Linked DNA regions of Drosophila melanogaster. The protein of the gene in region 2 interacts with the protein of the main gene of each other region in a pairwise test. Each region holds a gene or a part of one and is shown on either strand. Other genes may lie near its edges. The genes, in order: Xrcc2, CG13917 and Arp6.

Region 1 (6,291 bases), on a different chromosome or scaffold from region 2:
TATTGAAATTACATTTAAATTAATGATTGTATTTAATAATAATTTTTACTAATTTACCGGCTTTTAAGCACTACCAAAATCAATCGGCGGATAACATTAAAAAGCCCCCCCCCCCCCCCTCCTCTCCATTTTAATTGCCATTACCATACACCATCATATTGCTTCTTCTTAAAATGCTAAGAAAACGATAAAAAAGGAAAACGAAAACGAAAAAAAAAACTGCTAAACAAAACCACCTTACTTATGTATAGCTTTTAGAAATCATTAGTTTTAAGTATAATTCTGGTAGGGTTGGCCTTCTTCAAAAACAAAAAAAGAACATAGTGAAGGTTTCAACACAATTTTAAAGAACTGTTGTATTTTTTTTAATTAAGATAATATTACTGATATATAATATTAAATATATTACTGAATGGAATAAGTCATAAAAGCGAACTTTCCTTCTAGATCTATATGGACTATAATTTTCTTTGTTCGAGCGGGTAAAACTAGGAAGATATCACGGAAATTAAAGTATATTTGAGTTCGTAACTATCTAGATAATGTAGAAGTTATACCTTTTTTTTAACTTAATTAGTTGCACAGATTACTTTCTCACTCATAGGCCTTGAAATTGTCTAATAAAGGAGTAATAACAAATATAATTTCTAATCCCTAAAAGGAAGATATTATTAAAGTTAAATTGTTAAACTATATACAATTTTCTTAACCTATCAACTCTATATACAATTTAATCAACTCTATATACTCTATATACAATCGTTTACTTCTTTCAGTTCCTAGCATCATTTTGTCCTAAGATTAATAATAATAATTTAACTATGTTAACTGGGCTGAGTCAGCAATGCCTCAGTAATTTCCTTGCTAGTATTTGTATCCAAATGAATTCCATTGCTAAACGACAGCGGCAGTCCATTCAAGAGGATCTGGTTTTGAATCTTCTGCATCCTGACATGGTACTTTATGCCAGCCTCGGGCAAGTTTTCGCCAAAACGATTCTCCAGAAAGGCAGACTCCACCGTGTACATGCCGCAGACGATGGCATCCTTGCAGAGCTTCTCCAGGCGCGCCTGGAGCAATCGATAGTGGCGATACATGGACATTCTCTTGGCAATCTTAGGCTCATCTAGCCAGTAGAATTCGCTGAGTGTGTCCATGGCAACCAATTGTATGCCAGGATCATTGATGATCGCGTAGCGGGCGTCGATTAGCGACGTGGAAACATCATCGTTTGCAAAACAGTTGAGGAATCGCACGCGACTCATGCACTCGCCCGCAATCTCGGCCAGCTGCTCCTCCGTGGGGCATTTCGCAGCAATCACTTCGCCGACAGAGTACGCCTTCAGCTCCATCCTAATGCTCTTGGCCAGAGATTCACGGTTGATCTTGTGACTCAGATTGATCAGCAGGACGCTCCACTGGCGACCACCGAATTTGTAGGGCACCAGGCAGTGGGCCACCAACTGTTGGAGCACCAGGCTTTTGCCACTGTTCCCTGGGCCGGAGATCTCCACCAGCGTATCGGCTTCAAAGCCGCAGGAGCCAAAAACGGCAAAGTGGAGTTGATGTGAGCCCATTAGGTTAAATTTACAAATTTGCGCCCTGGCATAAACAAAGGAGTTATCGATTGTGGCCTTTATCGATGACAGCCACCTAAAGTTGAATTGCGCAGCGCTGAAACATATTTAACACTAAATGGAACTAGGGCATATCGAATAGTTAAACAACAGCAGCAAGCGTTTCGTTATAACTTTCAGTTAGCATTTAGACTTATTTGCGCACATACATAAAAAAAATCCATTTTCACCACCCTGTGTTATCGCCCAGCCGCCTATCGCTGCTGGTGCCTAATTTAGCCCTAACGCCTGGGCGATGATAGAAAAAACGGCATAACGCGTTCTTACCAGTTGAACATCGTTTTCTACCATTTTTTGTTTACGTTTGCACCGCGAATATTCGTGCACCTGCACTCGCAATTTGCTCAAAGCCAGCGGCGCTTTTTCGCCGGCAAGTTGCTCCGCACCGAGTTAAAGCATCACTCAGGCGGACGAGCTGGTGTACTCCAGTTAGCTTCTCGCCCCAGCACTTGTAATTGTCATTATCGGCGGGGCGCCTTTGATCATTCAGCGGCATCTCGAATCCGAACCAAAAGTGGTTCTTTTGTTCTCTTTCTGCTTTGTGGCCACCTTTCCGCGCTCCCCGCTTACCGCTTCCCGTCTCCCGCGCCGTGCTTTTTCTTTCTGGCCACCTAGACACGTCAACAGATTTGGAACTTTGTAACTGGAATCTGGAACTGGGCATCGGAATCGGAATTAGGGAGAGATGCGCGTGAGCACCATCCGCAGCGGTCGGATCTGCCGGCTGGCATTGTGCCTGCTGGTACTGCTGCCGCTGCTGTATCTGCTGGCCAACTGGAGCGATCACCACAAGCGCGTCCAGGAGGCGTATCACACGCGCTTCGGCGGACCCAAGTTCGCCCACCAGCGATTGGAGGGCAGGCCCAGGGAGGTGCCCAAGCTGGTCGATGGTAAGTGGCTACAGGATCGAGGATAGCAATATCAGCCCTTGACCAGGATAAAGAATAGGATTGTGTCACCCATAACGTGAGCCTTGCCATTAAGATTCCTCACTCACGTATTATACAATTTTATTATGGAGGACTATCATCAGAACTAAGGATACAGAGTAGTTACCATATCATTGTTGAAAAGACCGAGTTGTTTGCTTACTGCAAACCCAGCTAAAGAATTCAGTAATCTTTGCTTTATATCACTTAAAACCGGCTTTTGCTCGTTTTAACCAATTAATTACTTGCCATGTATGCTACATAGTATTCAAAGAAGTCTTTATTACCACGTTTAGCGTGAGTAAAGTATGGTTGGAGGTTAAAGGATAACCTTTTCCAACCCATATCGTACAGTCTATTCCCAGTCTAACTTACGAGCCCATTTCAAATATTTATCGCATTCTATTATACATTCTCCAAAACCGGCTTTGTAATGGCCCTAACCAACCAACTATCAAATTCGGATAGAGTGAGAAAATAACCTCATAAAAGTCATTTTTACTGCACAGCCACCAAAACTAGTGTGTCTTTAGTCTTTTGTATCAAATGCTAATTCTAGTCGTAGAATATTCCATATGACCATAAGATGGTTAGATGATGGCATATTATTGGTCTGTAATACCCCGCCTTTATGCATAAGTCTGAAATTATAACCCACACCTCCTGCAAGCGCATACAGTGAGTGGCTGGGCCAATATTTAAACAATTGCTGTAAGCTTGCATAGGTAATTTGCACGCGCCACACTCACAATTTGTTTTTGCGTTTTTCAGGCCTTGGCAACTTTGAGCCGAAAGATGTGAAGCCACGTAGCGGGCCTGGCGAGAATGGCGAGGCCCACAGCCTGTCGCCGGACAAGAAGCACATGTCGGACGCCTCCGAGATGGAGTACGGCATGAACATCGCCTGCTCCGATGAGATATCGATGCACCGATCGGTGCGGGACACGCGGCTCGAAGAGTGCCGCCACTGGGACTACCCCTTCGATCTGCCGCGCACGAGCGTCATCATTGTCTTCCACAACGAGGGCTTCTCGGTGCTGATGCGCACCGTGCACTCGGTCATCGATCGTTCGCCCACGCACATGCTGCACGAGATCATCCTGGTGGATGACTTCTCCGACAAGGAGAACCTGCGCAGCCAGCTGGACGAGTATGTGCTGCAGTTCAAGGGGCTGGTCAAGGTCATCAGGAACAAGGAGCGCGAAGGTCTCATCCGAACGAGATCCAGGGGAGCCATGGAGGCTACAGGTGCGTATAGCCCATATCTCATTTATGTATATTGTTATGTGTTCTTGCATAACTTGCATAACTCATGACGGCTTATCGCATAGTTAAAAGAACGTGTTGTATGGAAAACAATAGTTTTATCTTGAGATGTTTGCATCAAACGCTGAAACGCCAGCTATTTGGAATTTGAATTGAAGATAACTTCACGTTCCGCTTTGTGGCAATGATAAACCTTTAAACTGCAGACTCATTGAATTTCTTTTACATTTTCTCAGCATAATAGAATTGCCTATCATTGCAATTGAAGCAAGATTATCGTCGATTTCAAACAAGCCTTTTAGCATAAACAGTATGCATAGAAATTTACAAATTACTATTTTAAAGCATCATCCTTTAAATCATCATATTAACCCACAACCTTATAAATATCCACACAAACACTAAACTGCTTTGCATCCCGCAGGTGAGGTGATCGTCTTCTTGGACGCCCATTGCGAGGTAAACACCAACTGGCTGCCGCCCTTGCTGGCGCCCATCTACCGGGATCGCACTGTGATGACAGTGCCCATTATCGATGGCATTGACCACAAGAACTTTGAGTACCGGCCGGTTTATGGCACGGACAACCACTTCCGCGGCATCTTCGAATGGGGCATGCTGTACAAGGAGAACGAGGTGCCACGTCGCGAGCAGCGCCGCCGTGCTCACAACTCGGAACCCTATCGCAGTCCCACGCACGCCGGCGGCCTGTTCGCCATCAATAGGGAGTACTTCCTGGAGCTGGGCGCCTACGATCCGGGTCTGCTGGTCTGGGGCGGCGAGAACTTCGAATTGAGCTTCAAGATCTGGCAGTGTGGCGGCAGCATCGAGTGGGTGCCATGCTCTCGCGTGGGTCACGTCTATCGCGGCTTTATGCCCTACAATTTCGGCAAACTGGCTAGCAAGAAGAAGGGTCCATTGATCACGATCAACTACAAGCGCGTCATCGAGACGTGGTTCGACGACACGCACAAGGAGTACTTCTATACGCGCGAGCCGCTTGCCCGCTACCTGGACATGGGCGACATTAGCGAGCAACTGGCGCTGAAGAAGCGACTGAACTGCAAGAGCTTCCAGTGGTTCATGGACCACATCGCCTACGATGTGTACGACAAGTTCCCGGGTCTGCCGGCCAACCTGCACTGGGGCGAGCTGCGCTCGGTGGCCTCCGACGGATGCCTGGACTCGATGGGCCACCAGCCGCCGGCCATCATGGGCCTCACATACTGCCATGGAGGCGGAAATAATCAACTGGTTCGGCTCAATGCCGCTGGCCAGTTGGGCGTCGGCGAGCGCTGCGTGGAGGCCGATCGGCAGGGCATCAAACTGGCCGTGTGTCGTCTGGGGACAGTCGACGGTCCTTGGCAGTACAACGAGCACACGAAGCACCTGATGCATCGCGTCCACAAGAAATGCATGGCCCTGCATCCGGCCACGCAGCAATTGTCATTGGGTCACTGCGATGTTAACGATAGCTACCAGCAGTGGTGGTTCAAGGAGATACGCCCACGCTGGTAAGTCCAGCATGTTTGGGAGGAGCAGCAGGAGGAGGAGGATCAAGGAATGGATCACAAGGGTTTCAGCCGGGGCAACGGGGGCGATATTTTAGACAAAAGCAATTTAGTGAAAATGAGAAATGGAATTGTTGTTGGTTTTGTAACGCATATAAGTATTGATATACACACGAAAAACACAAGATATCACACACATCTGCATTTATGACGCGAACTGTATGTACATATGCACTGTCGGCACTTGGAAATCGCCTGGGCAACCGGGATTCAGACAAGGGCATTCAATGCTCGGCGAATAAATAAATCCACAAGGATATTATTAAATTATTAAAGCTTAAGAATTTCGATTTTGTAAAACAATGTCGTAAGGAATCGCGAACAATTGTATTTCCATGTAAGCATTAGAACAATTGCTTTTAGACCATATTTGTAGTGCATGAAGTGAATGCAATTTTCAAAATCGTGTGTGTGTGTTAGTAGTAGTCGTACTTGAAAACTGTTTTCCACTTTTGTCACGAAAGATCAAACTCCACAAAATGCACTTAGTGCAGAGCGTACGAAAATCATCACAATTAGCTGATAGTGAACCCATTCCCATTTCGATCGGCGAATCTCATACAATAGATATTCAATTGATATTTGGGAGGATCCAAGCCTGGGGGATTTCCGTGCCGACCTCGTGTGTGTGTGTCCTTGCGTATGAGTGAGAGAATGCGATGGGTATAGAGCGGAAGCGAATAAGAGCGAGATAGCGCGATGGCGGGATGGCGAGTCGAGTGCAATAGAGGATTTATGAAACGGGAACGGGACGCGATGACAGGGCCGCAGATTGTTTTGCTTTATGATTGCCAACTGAAAAAATGAATGTACTAACCTTAGTCTATACTCCTGCAAGTCCAACTAATCCTAGCTTAGTTTCAACGCTGCCACATTCCAATCTAATCC
Region 2 (7,821 bases):
TTATTTCGGTGTTTATTAAGCGGCTTTCCTTACACTTGTTAGATATGTGAAAGGTATTCGTGTAATGCTGACTTGGCTAGAAGAAATCAGCTAAAACGAAGTGCTTGCAGTAAAAATAACTTAAATGTTGTATGCTCTTTGTAGGTCTACGCACGCAGCTGCATCAGCGATGGCCACGGACGGTCTGTCACCATGCAGTCCATTTCCAGCAGTCTTAAGGTAAGCTGGAATATTTCCCTGGGAATTCCCGTATCTAAAACTCCCGCAATCCTTCGCAGGAAACAATGAATCCCAAGGATATTATGACAGATGCTATACACAACTTCCATCCGCAGTACCAGCAGTACACGCAGTACAGCTCAGGTTGGTTTTTACTCGCTTTCTCGTCTTTTTAGCCCAACTTCTTCTCTTTGTGCTCTGTGTCTGTGGCATGTTCGTTCTTTTCATCGAGCCTGCTTAACTTATCTTATCTCTTGTGTTCGTCGCTCTCATTTAATGCATTTCGATGCGAATTTCCATTACCATTTCCATTCCATTATCGTTATGTTTTTCACACTTTTGTTTTTCTTTCTTGTTTTCTTATCTTTTGCAGAAGTAACCTCGGCTCAGCGTTACGAAAAGCTCTAAATCAATATCAAAAGCAAAACTCTAGCGATGCTCGCTACTAAACACTAATTGCAATCACAATTCCACATTTCCGAGCGGGACGCGATCCGAAAGCGAAGCAAACAAGTGTACTTATAGCCCTAGCGCCTTAGCCCTAGCTTAATGCCCCACAGTATCCCCCGAAACCAAGCTCAGAGAGGAAGATACGTACTAGGCCTAGTTACTTACTTACTCACTCCACAAAACGCTGAAAGCTGAACAGAAATTAACTTAGCCAGTCCATTGAGTTCAGGGCTTTTAGAGTTGCCTCTGCGTCTGTGTTTCTGTATTTCCTACGTTTACACTCTACACCTAAACTTAAGCGTTTTTTAAAACAACTTATTTAGACGTTAGCTATGTACGAAACGAACTATAATATTGTACAATATTATGTATTTGTAAACAAAGATTTTATTATACTGTATGCAACAATGGCAGTCGCTGAACAGGATTCCCCATTCAAGCGATCTTCAAGCTAGTTTCCCCTCAGCATTTATTTACGTGTTTCCGTTTCGCTCAAAGATACCAAAAACGAAGTTTTTCCTTCTTTTATTTTGATTTCCCCTTTTGACCACCCTTTTGTGATAAGCTCTCGTCGTCCTTCTATTTACTTCTGTTTGTAAATGTTTAAACCAATTGTATAAAATATCTAAAATACTTAGCAATAAATGTACGATAAGCTTGACAACTGTTTGCCTCGCCTCGTTTTCTTCGTTGCATGTTTATTGGCCTCTTTCCAACTATATATATCATATATCCGTGCCTCGATTAAGATTTTTATCGTAGAATTAACTAATAACTAAAATCTTCAGTAACATACTTAATCGAGGAATGGTTGTGACAAGCATGGCATGATCTAATGTTTCTTGTTAATAAGTTAGACCCTCGATCTGTGTGACCCGTAACGATTAAGTCCATTCCCTCCAATGAAACCCGCACAGGTGGCAAGAATTCCCGCGGCATTCGCGTCTCCAGCTACGATCCCGACGATCCCAGCTCGGGAGCAGCAGCTGGAGGCATGCAGGCGTCGCAGCCCACCAGCGGTGGATACGATGCGGTGGCCACTGGACCAGGATCTGGCGGCAACGGCGGCAGCAACTGCATGGCCTCAAAGACGCTGGGCAACCAGAGGAAGTTCCAGCCCGGCGGCCAGCGGGTGGCGACCATCAGCCAGAACTACAACGAGAAGACCATGCTGCTGAGCAGCGACGATGAGTACCAGTAGAGGAATGGAGAGATCGGGATCGATGGTCCCACTTATTGTTAACAAAATCGAGTCTTTCGTTCGGATCCGATTCGATTCGTTTCGTTTGGTCTATCCAGTGTGCTGATTCTGTCGCTTGTACAATAATCTTAGGTAGCCTAGCCGAGCAGCATCACACGACCCATTGGGCGGAAGATTAAAGATAACGTAATGATATACCCTGTAAAGTGGGGTGTGTGTGGCTAGAGAAGTGTAGTCTATGGATAAGTTCAGTACAATTTTTTTATTTTAATGGATGCACTTCTGCTTTAACCAATTTGATGATTTATATAGAGAATTTTGAAGCATTATCTATAGACTACAGTGGTCCACCACCCCAATACGACTTAATCTGCGCAAAGGTATTTTGTAATTTTACACCGCATATGTAATTTGATTCGCTTTGATTCCATTTATCTTGTGTACATTTGTCTGACAATTCAATTGTAAAGCGAACCAAAAAAAAAAAAACTGAACAGAAATCAAAACTAGCGAAAACCGAACTGCAAATGCACTTCTTGCGTCTCACGAACCGTCTACAGGCTGCTTCTACAATAAACTGGCGGAAAAGCTGAGGAAAATCTACACACAAATATATTTATAAGCCAAGGCTAATTTTTAAAGCATACTTAACACAATACATAGCTAACCTATAGCGAATTCGTTAGTTGAATGAATGAGACCAGGTCCAGAAACCAGTTTCCAAGTAATAGGACTATTTCCGGGCCCGAAGTGTATAAAAGAATTTTACCCTGTACAGAGAAAACGAGGTGCTCCAGACCATTGGCTGAAATCGGTCTGAAATCGGTCGAGAACAGTATTTTGATATCTAGCCAGGCTTCCCATCAAATTACGTGTGTTTCTGGACCAGCGTGGTGACCGGAACCGGAAGCAGAGCGTAAGAAACGTAGGAAACGTCAAATTATGTATAATTATCGGGGGCAAAGTGAAGGAAAACCAAGGCAGCAACGTTTTTATGTACATTTTTTTCGTTATTAATATGAAATGAGAATAAAGTAAATGTCATAAAGTACTCTAAATCCATTTATGTATATAATATATCCAATGTTTTATTTATGATTGGTAATAATTATTGGTAAGTTAAGGTTTATAGTTTTTATAAGATGCGTTGGTTGTTCAAAAAGGCTTCTTTTGTTAATTATTGTATTCATTAAAGTAAAATTTTTGATTCATTTTAAAATTTAATTATTAAAACCGTTATGTTTAGCATTCAAATTGATCCATCTCTTGTTGCCACCTTTTTTATTGTACATTTAAGAAAGGGTTTAAGTCTGCGGTGGTGTAAGCACTTGGTATTGACGTGTCTAGGCTGAACGGTCCCTTTATCGCGCTCGCTAGTAACTTTGTACATTCCGGCTGCGGCCACACTGCAAAACCCCTTTAAACCGCAGGAATCGCTCGCGTTTTTTGTCGCGGCGTTAAATTTTTTAAAAGAAACCGAAAGAATATTTAACAGTGGACCTGCGAAAAGAATCGATTCGGCCGCGTTCTAAATCTAATGCCAATTGCCGCGATTATCGGCTTATTATTCAGAAAACAAGAGAAACACGCAAGCGAAAAAACGAAGTTGTGCGGAAAAACCAGTTTTCTTTTTGCCCAGCGAGCAGCAGCAGCAACAACAACAACAAGCGCGTAGTTAAAAAACAAGCTAAAATCCTGTTCAGTCCTGAATTAAATGCAACGCGCAAGAAATCAAAAGAAATATGCCAATGAAAGTGTCGTGCAATAAAGCAATAAATTAATCAAAAGAGGAGTACGAAAACGAGATTTTCCCCAGCGATTCCTGCGAACTAAGCTTGTTTTAACCGAACTAACTAAAACGTAAGTACAAGCCAAGTATATGTATACACACACAATCTTGTAAATCGCGGAGTTTTGCTGTTTTCGTGTGGGTTTTGCTATCTTCTCTCCTTTTTCGCCTCCTTTTTGGCCGCCTCTGCGAGTGTGTGTGCGTGTGTGTGTTGTGCAAATGGCAGGTAGAAAAGAAACGGTTGATAAAAAAATCTTTTCAAGGGCGGACGAGAAAAGTCTATTTTTAACCTCCTTTGTGGCTAATTTTATTCGCCATTTCGTTTGATTGCCCTCCGAAAATTAATAGTAACATTTTATGTAATTGGTGGAAGCGGGTGATGGCATGGCATCCCGAGGAAAAATCAATAAATCAGCGCCGCTGCAGCTGTGTTCTCGTCCTGCATGTGTATGCGTGGGCTGTTTTGGAGCCAGCAGGCGTGAATTGGGGTAGGAATCGGACCTCTCTCTCTCCCGCACACTCCGCCCTCTCTTTTATCCTTACCTCTCTCTCGCCTACCCACACATGCATACAGGCTTTTACTATCCGTGTGAGCCGCAAACAACAAATAAGCCGCTATAAGAAAAAAACGCGTATTTTGGCGGTCCCTCCGCCCACTTTTTCCCCCGCCTCCTCCCCAGTGCATTTTCCCCATGCAAACGAGAAAAATCAATAAGAAACCCACTTGGCCGTAAGAGCTGTGAAAATAAAAGTCATCTAAGACCGAATGCAAACATGGAAATCAGTTATTAACCCAATTTGCATATGCGAGAGCATCATCGCACGGACAAAAAGAGAAAATGCCAGCAACTATAGTTAATCAATCAAACCAACACGAAATTCTGCGAACCGCAAATTAAGTGACTCAGTCGAAATTCAAATGCCAACAGCTGTACGCGTTTAAATTTATACGCTTAGCGCACGCTGTTTCTGGACCCCGAGTCAAAAGAACCAAAAGCGTGGGCATTTCGATTTGGCCAAAAGTCAAGTGGCCAATGGACTTGCGGGGCTTCCTCTGCGTCACTGTTCCACTGCACTTCTTATCCTTATCTCGACCAAATACTACACTTCTCACATACAATGTACGTTTGCTCATATGGTAAATCACCTATCGATTGAAACTGGGAAATTGGGAAACCAGTATAACTGAGTGAAGCGGAAACTCCTAATTGTTTCTGGGAAAGTAGGTTGCCAAAGTTGCTATTTTTAGGATTCAGTAAATTTAGCGCCTTCCGCCAATCAATCAATGAGGCTCAATCAGTCTAGTGCCCCAAAAATGCCTACGGTATTACGACGGATATCACTTCATATCGGGGCGCCAGTAACGCGAGATTGTTTATGTTTACTTATCATAAGTATGAAAGTGCCAGTGTTATCTTTTCACTGAAACTTAGGTAAATAGGTAAATAGAAGTAAATTAAAGTTAGCAGCATTATCATTCATATGATTCATTGACATCATAAAATACAAATATTAATGGAAACTTTAGGATCCATTCTTTTACTAACAGAAAGATTCTTTTTCTTAACCATAAGTTTTAAATTAGATTCCTCTTGACCAGTGACCACTGTACATGAGGCACATGAGCTCATTTCCACCGCTGACCCAGAATTCGTTCTCCCTCTAATTCTCCTCAGCCACACTGTAATTTACAATAGTTCGCCAAGCCTCACTTACTTTAATTGTCGCATTTGTTGCGACCACACATGGTTTTCTTCTCAGTGTGTGTGCGAGCGGGATGCCGCAGCCATGACGCCATGTTGCGGGCTCCAGAATGGGAGTGCGAAAGAGACGAACGTAGAAGGGGGAGGTGAGCAAACAGCTGACACTTGACTCTCCGCACAAATGGCAATTACAAATGTTTTTACCGTTAGGGGGCGCAGCCACATGTAAATGAGTAAGTGAACGCTACCGACTTTTTACTTGTCTCCCGTTTTTCATTTCCATTTCCATTAGCGTACGAGCGACCAGAAGCGGAAAACAATGCAAAACATATTTTCAATTAGTTAATCAGTCGCAGTCCCAACAGCTGTCCGTATATGTGTGTGTGTGTGACAGTGGGAAAGATATGGGAAAGTGCGACCACCCTTTATAATCACTTGAGCTTGCAAGGCACAGCCATGTCCAACTAGTTAGTTCCCCACTCACAGATGTTTGGATTTATTGCCATGTAATTCCAGACATTTCATTTTGTTTTCAATAGTATAATGATGATTTGTAGTTCATGCCTAGTTTTTCGGATTTTATCATAGGTCTGAGATAAAACTCCTCGAATATATCAATAAACAGCCAGACTACTCTGTTTACTTATTACTTATACGCTAGCACTGTGAAAAGAAAACCCACGCACAAAACCCAAAATAAGCGGAGATAAGCTGTTGGGCAACCAAAATATCGTTTGCAGGCAGTGTTTACTGTGTTTGCTGTGCCCTCACCTACATTTGTACTGTTGTTTGCCGGTTGTTTGCTTGTTTGCCTTTGTTTGTTGCCTTTCGTTTGTTTGTGTGAAAGTGAGTCAAATGAGATACATATGCCTTCCTAGGCATGGGCCTACATACATACATACATACATACATACATACATGCCATACATATGTATGTACCAATTCCATTCCCCGATCCCCGAAAGCCATTCCCTAGTTCACCCACATTCCCCATTAGTTTCTGCCTTATCAGCAGTGTCTTCAGTCTGTTATTGTGTGTGGCGTACTTTTCCATTGAACTTTTAATGGCCGACCTGCAGCCGATTTAATTATTGAATTTATGGCTGTTTCGAATTCGGCGGTACACTACAAAAAATAAAAGCTGAGTAGTAAAATGCATTCGAGACACTTTCCGCTTCACATTTTTTGTTCGAAATTAAACGATATTATGCCTTTGCAACCAAATACTTTATAAATACATAGATAGATAGATACAACAAGTTAATTCTTTGCTCATTACTTTGCAATTCATTGGATGGGCAAACTTAATTAGCTGAATGGCACACATGTTGCAAATTAATTTGAGTTATGCACTGCCAAACGACGCCTTAATTGTCAACAGATTAGTTTCAGCCGGGTGTGGCTCCACTGCCCATTCGCCATGCCAAGTGCGCCTGGCGGGTGTGAGCAATTAGCCGGCTTCTCGGCGAGAATGCGTTGATCCCAGTTCCCAGTCGCTTGGCAAAAGTGTCACGCCAGCTCCGAACCCAAAGGGGAGATTGGGGGGTAATTAGTTTCCATCGAAATGCGGGGGATGGCTGCGATGGAGGAGGCTCATCACGTTCGACTGCCCAGATGCTAATCGCTCCTTGTGGCGAGCTATTTTTGGGGCACGCTTTGTTTACGTTTGGCCCCAGGCATTCGAGGTGGGCGTAGTTCTGTTTTTGGATGCCATATTTTTTTTTGGCACCATTCGCCGATTTTCGGGGCGTTAATAAGGGCGTGGGTGGCAGGTCAAGTTGGAGGGGCATGGGAATATTCTCTGCGTCCTCCACAAATTGAACGCAATTGGAGGCTGCAATTGGTGTGTAAATTATGCAACAACAGCAGCAGCAGCTCCATACATCAATCAGTTCATAAATCAATCATTCTCCCGAGACTCGAAACTTACGGCCAATTGAAGCCAATCAAAATGGGAGTCTCGATGTGACCAAATTCAATAAACGCATGTTTATGGCCATAACGTATGATTATGATTTATGTGCCAATTCGACATTCGAACGGGAAAAATGCAATTCCACGCAAATAACCTTCGGTGGCACATACGATTTTGCGCAACGCGAAAATCAATTTTCAATTTGCATGCCGAAAAAAAAATGATTAAACAAATACAAATTGAGAGTGATTTTCGCGTGCAAAATTATGCAAATTAGATATGTAAGGTGGGGTCATTCAAAGCCAAAGAGAAACCGAAATTCCACTTGAGGCCAAAAACAATGGGGTTTCTAGCACCCTTCGGATGCGCTTCGCAGCGCAACTGAAGTACTCAAATACCCGAATGAGCTGACGTAGCAGTTATCGATTGTTTTCGAGCATTACGAAATAATCCGCATTTTTGGGGGGAGGGGGTGTGGTAGGAGTTGTCATTCCATGCAACATTCACTGCAATTGCAGTTTAAATTTAAGATATTGTAGTTACC
Region 3 (6,866 bases), on a different chromosome or scaffold from region 2:
ACTTAACTTTTTTGTTATACATAATTTTAAATATTGCATTCCATTTATAATATTTTAAATTACAAATGTAAATAACATTATTTAATATCAATTGGGTAGTTTATTTGTATTTACAACTGATTTCCAAACATACCACTGGCTTACTGCAGTGTATACTGCGGCAAATGCACGTGTAGTTGTTGCTGCTGCTAAAAACAGCTGTTTGTGTTTTGGTTGCAAAGTGATGCACTTGCAACTGCAATTGTGGACTATTTAAAGCATCAATTTGTGTTCTTCGGGAACTGGTAAGTAGTGCGCCTCTTCTCACACCTGCGCTGATTTTATAAAATTTTTTTAGGGCGGACATATCCTCGATTTTGTTGATATTATTTAACTCAATCGAAAAGTGTGAAATTCATTTAAACTTAGAGATGGCACCTCCTTTCATTTCAAAACTAGTCGCGAGTCACGATTTTAAAAAGTTACTATAGCTGTCACTGGTGCTGATAAAATTTGCTGTAACTCACAGACATTAAAACCAATTGTTAATATAAATTCTACTGTGAAATATTAAGTTAAGTTATTAATGAAGTCCACCTGGACTCTGGGGCTTAAAAATAACTTATTTTTCAAACAGGTAGTAACCGTTTCTCCGCTATCCCGTGACACTGCCAATCGATGACATCTGTTAATGCCATCTCACGTGATACTATCGACAGTACTATCGACCATCTGGTAGTAAGCACTCATATTTTCGAATTTTTTTTGTGGAAATTCTCGAGTCAAACAAATTATATAAAGGGCACGAACCGATGGCGACACGTGTGGTGGCAACGGCGACAGTGCGGGCGGTGAAAGGCCGGAAGTTAATCCCGACGCGGGCCGCTCTGACTCTGGTAAGGAAACCAAAACCTGGTGAAATCGGCGCATGCTGCTGCTGATGAAGTAACAGTCCCCTTCGATCTGATGATTCTGATCTCCCCCAATCCTTTTCAGACACCCGCGGCGGTGCTACGCATCAAGACGCTTCTGCAGGACAAGCCGGACATGGTGAGTGACTGCTGACAAGTTGTCATCGAACCAAGGCTACACTTTAGTGGGCATTCTATCGCCTTCCACGATTGAGATCTTGATAATCTCGCCTAGCTCTTTAAAGGTTCCCGTGCATGTTATTTAAGTTTTAGCACTGGTTGCATGGAGTATAGGAAGTTCGCAAGAGGGCTTCTTCAAGCATTATATTTGACAATAGGCTTTTTCCTCAGTCAGTCATATATTTTAGCGCAAATTATTAGCTATAAATATAAGCCATGCTAACTAATTCGGCCTGCGTTAATCAGCTAGATTTTCCAAATTTTGACCCGACCAAATTTTGATGAGCATGTTTATCTTGTTGTTAATCATTTAGTTTTTAAGTGATTAAATTCTTTGAATTGAGACAGACTTATTAGAATACCGAGTTCTTTGTCTTTGGTCAATAAACAAGGCTGCCTATAAATTAGCCACACAGTTAATGACAGAAATTCGATGTTGTTTCTGCCACAGGTTGGCCTAAAGGTGGGCGTACGGCAGCGAGGATGCAATGGTCTGTCCTACACGCTGGACTATGCCAGCCAAAAAGGTAAGCCACTCTGGACAGAATGTTGTTCGGTGGAGATCTAATGCTGCGTTCTGTGTCGATTTTTGCCAGCAGACAAGTTGGATGAGGAGGTGGTCCAGGATGGCGTCAAGGTCTTCATCGACAAGAAAGCGCAGTTGTCGCTGCTGGGTAAGTTCATACCAGCTTAGCATAGCATTGGACAAGCCAGCTAATACAGAGTATAATTCGCTTGCAGGTACCGAGATGGACTTTGTGGAATCGAAGCTGTCCAGCGAGTTCGTGTTTAACAATCCGAACATTAAGGGCACATGCGGCTGCGGCGAATCGTTCAGCATGTAAACCGATGGAGATCCGGAGGAGATCCGCCGGCACCCGCCTCGCAGACAGACCTAAATTAACTAAGTTAAATGCAGTACGCGGCCCGACCTTGTATCTCATTACGTTGTTGGCAAAAGCACCGCATCCTTTGTAAATTTTACTTCGCAAACGAATTCTAAATATTAAGTTGTGTTCTATAGTTAAATTTTAGTTGTAGCGCTAGGTAAGTGACGCACCCGCTTCCTTGCCGCAGGCTGGCAGTTTGTCCTCTTTAGCCCTAGTTCAATATATAGACAAGGAATGTTCTAGAAAACCCATGTGCAAATCAAGTTTATTATTGAAAAAATACTTCGACTACGTGCATGTTACCGCTGATTGATACCCTGGAAACCGTACTCCTCGTAGTCGTCTTGCGTGTAAACAAACTCTTCAAAGTTGGGGCTGGTCGCAACCTCCTTGCCGCCGTACCACGCGTACCGCACCGGATCCTCGGGACAGATGAGTGACACTTCAAGATCGTCGGGCACCAGGGCACGTAAATCGCGCTTTAGGCGCGGCAGAAATCCCGGAAACTGGGCACTGCCGCCCACAATAAGGATGTTGAGCAGGAGTTCGCGGTGCGCTTCCCAGGGGCAAGCCTTCAGACAATCGGCCACCGCTTCCGGAATGCCCACCTGTTGCACACCAATGTCCGAGGGATTGAAGAGCAGCTCGGGCACGGTGAAACGTTCATTGCACAGCGACACCATTTGCTGTTGCTCCTCATCCTCGCGCGGCTTTCCGGGAACACGAACATAGCCCCGTTTGACGGTGGTGAAGTCTGGAAGGACATAATCAACTGTGACTTCGCGTCGCTTCTCCTCCGAATAATGCACCTGCATCGCCTGCTTGAAGTCCTCCGCCACAAAGCAGACATCTTCCTTGATCTGGTTAACTACATGACTCTCGTCCATGACGTTTAGGTGGCGATAAGAGATTAGCTCCTTTAGCTGGTTGGTCAGCGCCTTCCCGCCCATGTCGATGCGTCGTATGCCTTGGAGAACGCGCCGTCCCAGCACAAAAGGAACAACGTGGGTGAAACTGTAGCCTACATCGATGATGATGCAGTTAAGCGATTCCATTGTAGTCCGCTCCTCGCTGTCAGCCACATAGTTAAAGGCAGCCAGATCGGCAGCAGTGGTCTTGTACACCCCATCAACCTTGTACTCCTCAAACAGAATCTCCAGCGTTGCCTCCTGGATGCTCTGGAAGTTCATCTGCGGCTCAGTGATGACAATATTGCGGTTCTCCAGCGAACAACCAATGCCGTCCTTGCTGAATATGTAATCCCACACCGTTTTCTGTGTGTGCCAGTTGAGCAGGTAGCCGCGCTGGAACGCCAGAATGTAATAGAGCGCCGATGTGTCCCGGCATTCATCTATCTGATTTCCCACAAAAGCGCGTCGCCGCTCGCTCTTTGCTTTCATGATGCAGTTGGGCACCACATGGGGCTCATCCTGATTGGCCAGGCCCACTTTCGCCGTATGCGCTCCGTTGTCCAACACCACCACAGCGTTGGCCATCCTTTTCGTCCTCAACGTAGATCTATACCATTTTTCGGAAGAGGACAACAAACAACACTTCTTCTGTTCTAGTGCTGTCGATTAATTTGTTCAATCTATCGAGATTTTTAAAATCGTTATTTTTGGTGTTTTAACGGTCTACATCAAATTAAATAAGGAAAACAAAAACAAAATGAAAACACAAGAAACAACTTTTTGGAATGCTAATAATTCTATATTTCAGCAAAATACAAATACACATACAATAAAATTATAATATTCTCGATGTAGATCTATAGCATTTTTCGACAGAGGAAAAGAAATGACACTTCGTCTGCTTTAGTGCTGTCGATTAATCTAGCCATTTTTTTAAATTGGATCTAGTGAGAATTTTAAAATCGTAATGTTTGGTGTTTTTAACGGGCAACAACAAATTAAAAAGGACAAAAAAAAAATAGAGCACAGATCAAACAAACTTTTGGAACGCTAACAATTCTATATTTCGTCAAAATACAAATATAGTACAAAAAACTATCGACCAAGCCTACTTGCTAATTGGGAATCGAGGCGGCAGGAGCAGCCAGTGGCAGGACCTCTAGCTTATGCGAATCACTGTGATCGCTGACGAAGTGCAGCACTTCGAAGCCCACCTCTACCATGATCAGGATTATGATCATCCACTCGAGCCGGATATGATGGGCATCGTTCAGATTGTGGGACACCAGCTCGGCCAGTTCCACGCAGTGGTTGATCTTCTCGTTCATCACCTTGGTGCGCCGTGAGATGCTGAAGTAGGAGCACACCTGCAGGTAGAGTGCCTCCAGTTCCTCGCGGTCCCAGTAGAAATCGGGTGCATCCAGCAGATCCGACGACAGGTTGATCACATGACGCAGGGCAAATAATTCACCGGTTTTTCGCAGCATGGCCGCCCGCGAGATTCTTAATCGGCGACCACGCTTTAGATCCTCGGTGAGATGCTCTATGGAGTCTATGTAGCGGTCCAGTGTCGCCTCCCACATGCCCAGCTTTATTGACTGTGCCATCGCATTGGAGAAGGTGTACTTATACAGGAAACTATCCGTATCGGCGGTAACAAAGAACTTGCCATTCTGGAAGAATGCCCGTGACGTGACATTGAAGTCGCTGCTCTCCGCCACCAGATCGCCCTCCACATCCACCGCCGTCGATGGAATGTAGGTGTAGGGCATCACCTCGCTCTCCCCGTGAACCAGGGCACTCACATACGATTCCCTTTCGAAGGCGCGCAGGAAACTTAGCACATTGTTCGTCTCGATGTCGCTGCAGTTCCAAAAGACCACCGAGCCCTCGCGGAAGAAGAATATCTCCCGCGGCTGCTGACCCGTCGGATATTTGGCCGCCACAAAGAGCACATTCTGCTCCACGTCCAGATTGTCTGTGGAGAAGAAACGCTTCGTCTCGTACAGGTTCTGTTCGCGGAGGGCTATCTGCAGATCCTCCAGATTGTACTCCTCGGCGGTCGTATAACCACGGGTGTTGAGAAACCCCAAAGCGGACAGTTCATCGATGGCCAAGCGCTTCTTTCGAATGATCCTGGTGCGAATGGGCGATAGTATCGACTCCAAGCGCTCCTCGGCTAGCGGCAATGGCTTTACCCGCGGTTGCGTTTGAGTTCTAGGTACAGAAGCTGCTTGAGCTGGCGCCGCAGCCGATGAGGTGGCTTCACTGGCCAACCATCGGCGGCGGTCCATCATCCACTGCGTCTGCGTCTGCTGGCGCGGAATTCGAAGTCCTCCAAGGACCATCTGCCCGAATCTCAGGCGTGCAAAGTTCATGGCTTTTGATTTATGCTCCAGCAGCAATTAGTGGCCCATTTCTGGGAGTTGAGATCGGTTTGGTAACGAATCGTATCTGGTGGCTATATAATATAGTAGCCGGCCTCCGATTGCCTTTTGTTGTGATTATCGAATCCGATAGGCACTCAGTGGTGAACTCGGTTCTTCGGCCGTTAGTTATTTCTAAGCTATGAATTTTCATTATTGCTTGGTATTTATACTACAAATTTGGTAGTTGAAATTCTGTTATTTGCTTTTTGAAATGCTGTAACGAGTCTTCAACTCATACTACATAAACTTCTGCCAATAGAGACAAATTACTGAACCTGGATACAAAATAGCCAAAATGTGAGAACTGAATTTAAGCGGCCAACCGCCTGCACTGCTCCGATAACGATAGCCATCAGCTGTTTTCATCGCTCCACTTAACCATTTTCTTCCCCATTTGGGGCAAAACAAAACGCAGTAACTACCCCACATTCAGCACGTGCGGCGCCAGAATTCAGGACGCACTGCAGCGGGCGGCAAGAGCAGAAAGCAACGCGGATGTGCAACACCGCTTAGTAGCAACATAAAATGAACGCATTGCGCAACATCTTCACATCGCGAACTCTCAACTATTTGCGCCAGAATGGACAAAACGCGATCCTCAACGCCACCCAGCAGCAACAAGCGGTGGACGCCGTGCCGCTAACCAACGATGCCGAGCAGCACCTAAAATCGTCGCGTCCAGCACCGCTTTCCATACCGCGCTCCATACTCGATGCGTGCCATTTCACGGCCAAGCAGTTTGACCTGGGAGGCTCCACGTCCGGAAACCAGGCGAATGGCTCTCTGTCGCCGACGACACTGAAGCGCTTCCGACGCATGCAACGCCGCATGGAGCTGGTGTACCGCTGCAAGCTGTGCAACACCCGCAACACGAAGACCATCAGCGAAGAGGCCTACTACAGCGGCGTGGTGATCCTACAGTGCGACGGCTGTGCCGTCGACCATCTGATCAAGGACAATCTGGGACTGTTCACCGGCAGCGATGGCGATAGCAGCATTAGCTCTGGAATCAGTACCAGCAAGAATATCGACCAGGTGCTGGCCGACCGGCATGCCCGCGTCCGGGTGATCAAGGTGAACGAGCGCGGCGAGCTGATTTAGGAACTCTAGTCAAAGGGGCATCAGTAGAGGTGAGAACCTGGTGCCGTCAACCTGCGAATCGTGTCTGAGGAGGACACACTCGACACGGGGTGGCACATTGAACCCAAGCAACCAAGCACCCAAGTACCCAACTGCAAACCGGAATCCCACATTCTGTTTCCGAGCTCAGACGGCTGTATATAATAATTGTACTGTAATTGTTGATTGTTTCGGGCCGTGAGTAATGCCTAAAAAAGTGATTAAAGGAACGACCAGTTCAAAAGCAAAAAACAAACATTGTATATGGCTAAATCTGTTATTCCGCTGTAGACTATCTAATCAGGGTGCACAGAAAGAAAAATGTCTCATTGTTGATATAAATGTTAAAATACATATGTATATGTACAATCATCAAGTTTTGGCTACAAGCCATCAATTTTTGTCAATATACGCCGTGCCTATCTTATATTGACCAGGTTTTTTTTT

The links.
Region 1: the proteins of CG13917 (region 2) and Xrcc2 interact in a two-hybrid assay, tested with the Drosophila melanogaster proteins (one large-scale study listed by BioGRID).
Region 3: the proteins of CG13917 (region 2) and Arp6 interact in a two-hybrid assay, tested with the Drosophila melanogaster proteins (one large-scale study listed by BioGRID).

Annotation. Positions count from the first base shown.
Region 1 is NC_004354.4:18,495,468-18,501,758, reverse strand, and holds Xrcc2 (X-ray repair cross complementing 2), read right to left. Parts: upstream 1,633-6,291; 5' UTR 1,578-1,632; coding exon 825-1,577; 3' UTR 501-824; downstream 1-500. Other genes in the region: Pgant7 (polypeptide N-Acetylgalactosaminyltransferase 7), read left to right, coding at 2,323-2,527, 3,338-3,814, 4,257-5,350.
Region 2 is NT_037436.4:1,573,402-1,581,222, forward strand, and holds the start of CG13917 (uncharacterized protein), read left to right. Parts: upstream 1-3,297; 5' UTR 3,298-3,730; intron 3,731-7,821. Other genes in the region: Tmep (transmembrane endosomal protein), read left to right, coding at 145-219, 279-363, 1,587-1,870.
Region 3 is NC_004354.4:15,733,578-15,740,443, forward strand, and holds Arp6 (Actin-related protein 6), read right to left. Parts: upstream 3,544-6,866; 5' UTR 3,457-3,543; coding exon 2,260-3,456; 3' UTR 2,197-2,259; downstream 1-2,196. Other genes in the region: CG12379 (uncharacterized protein), read right to left, coding at 134-346; MagR (magnetic receptor), read left to right, coding at 792-875, 976-1,029, 1,522-1,597, 1,667-1,744, 1,812-1,915; CG11679 (uncharacterized protein), read right to left, coding at 3,987-5,249; CG8206 (uncharacterized protein), read left to right, coding at 5,826-6,401.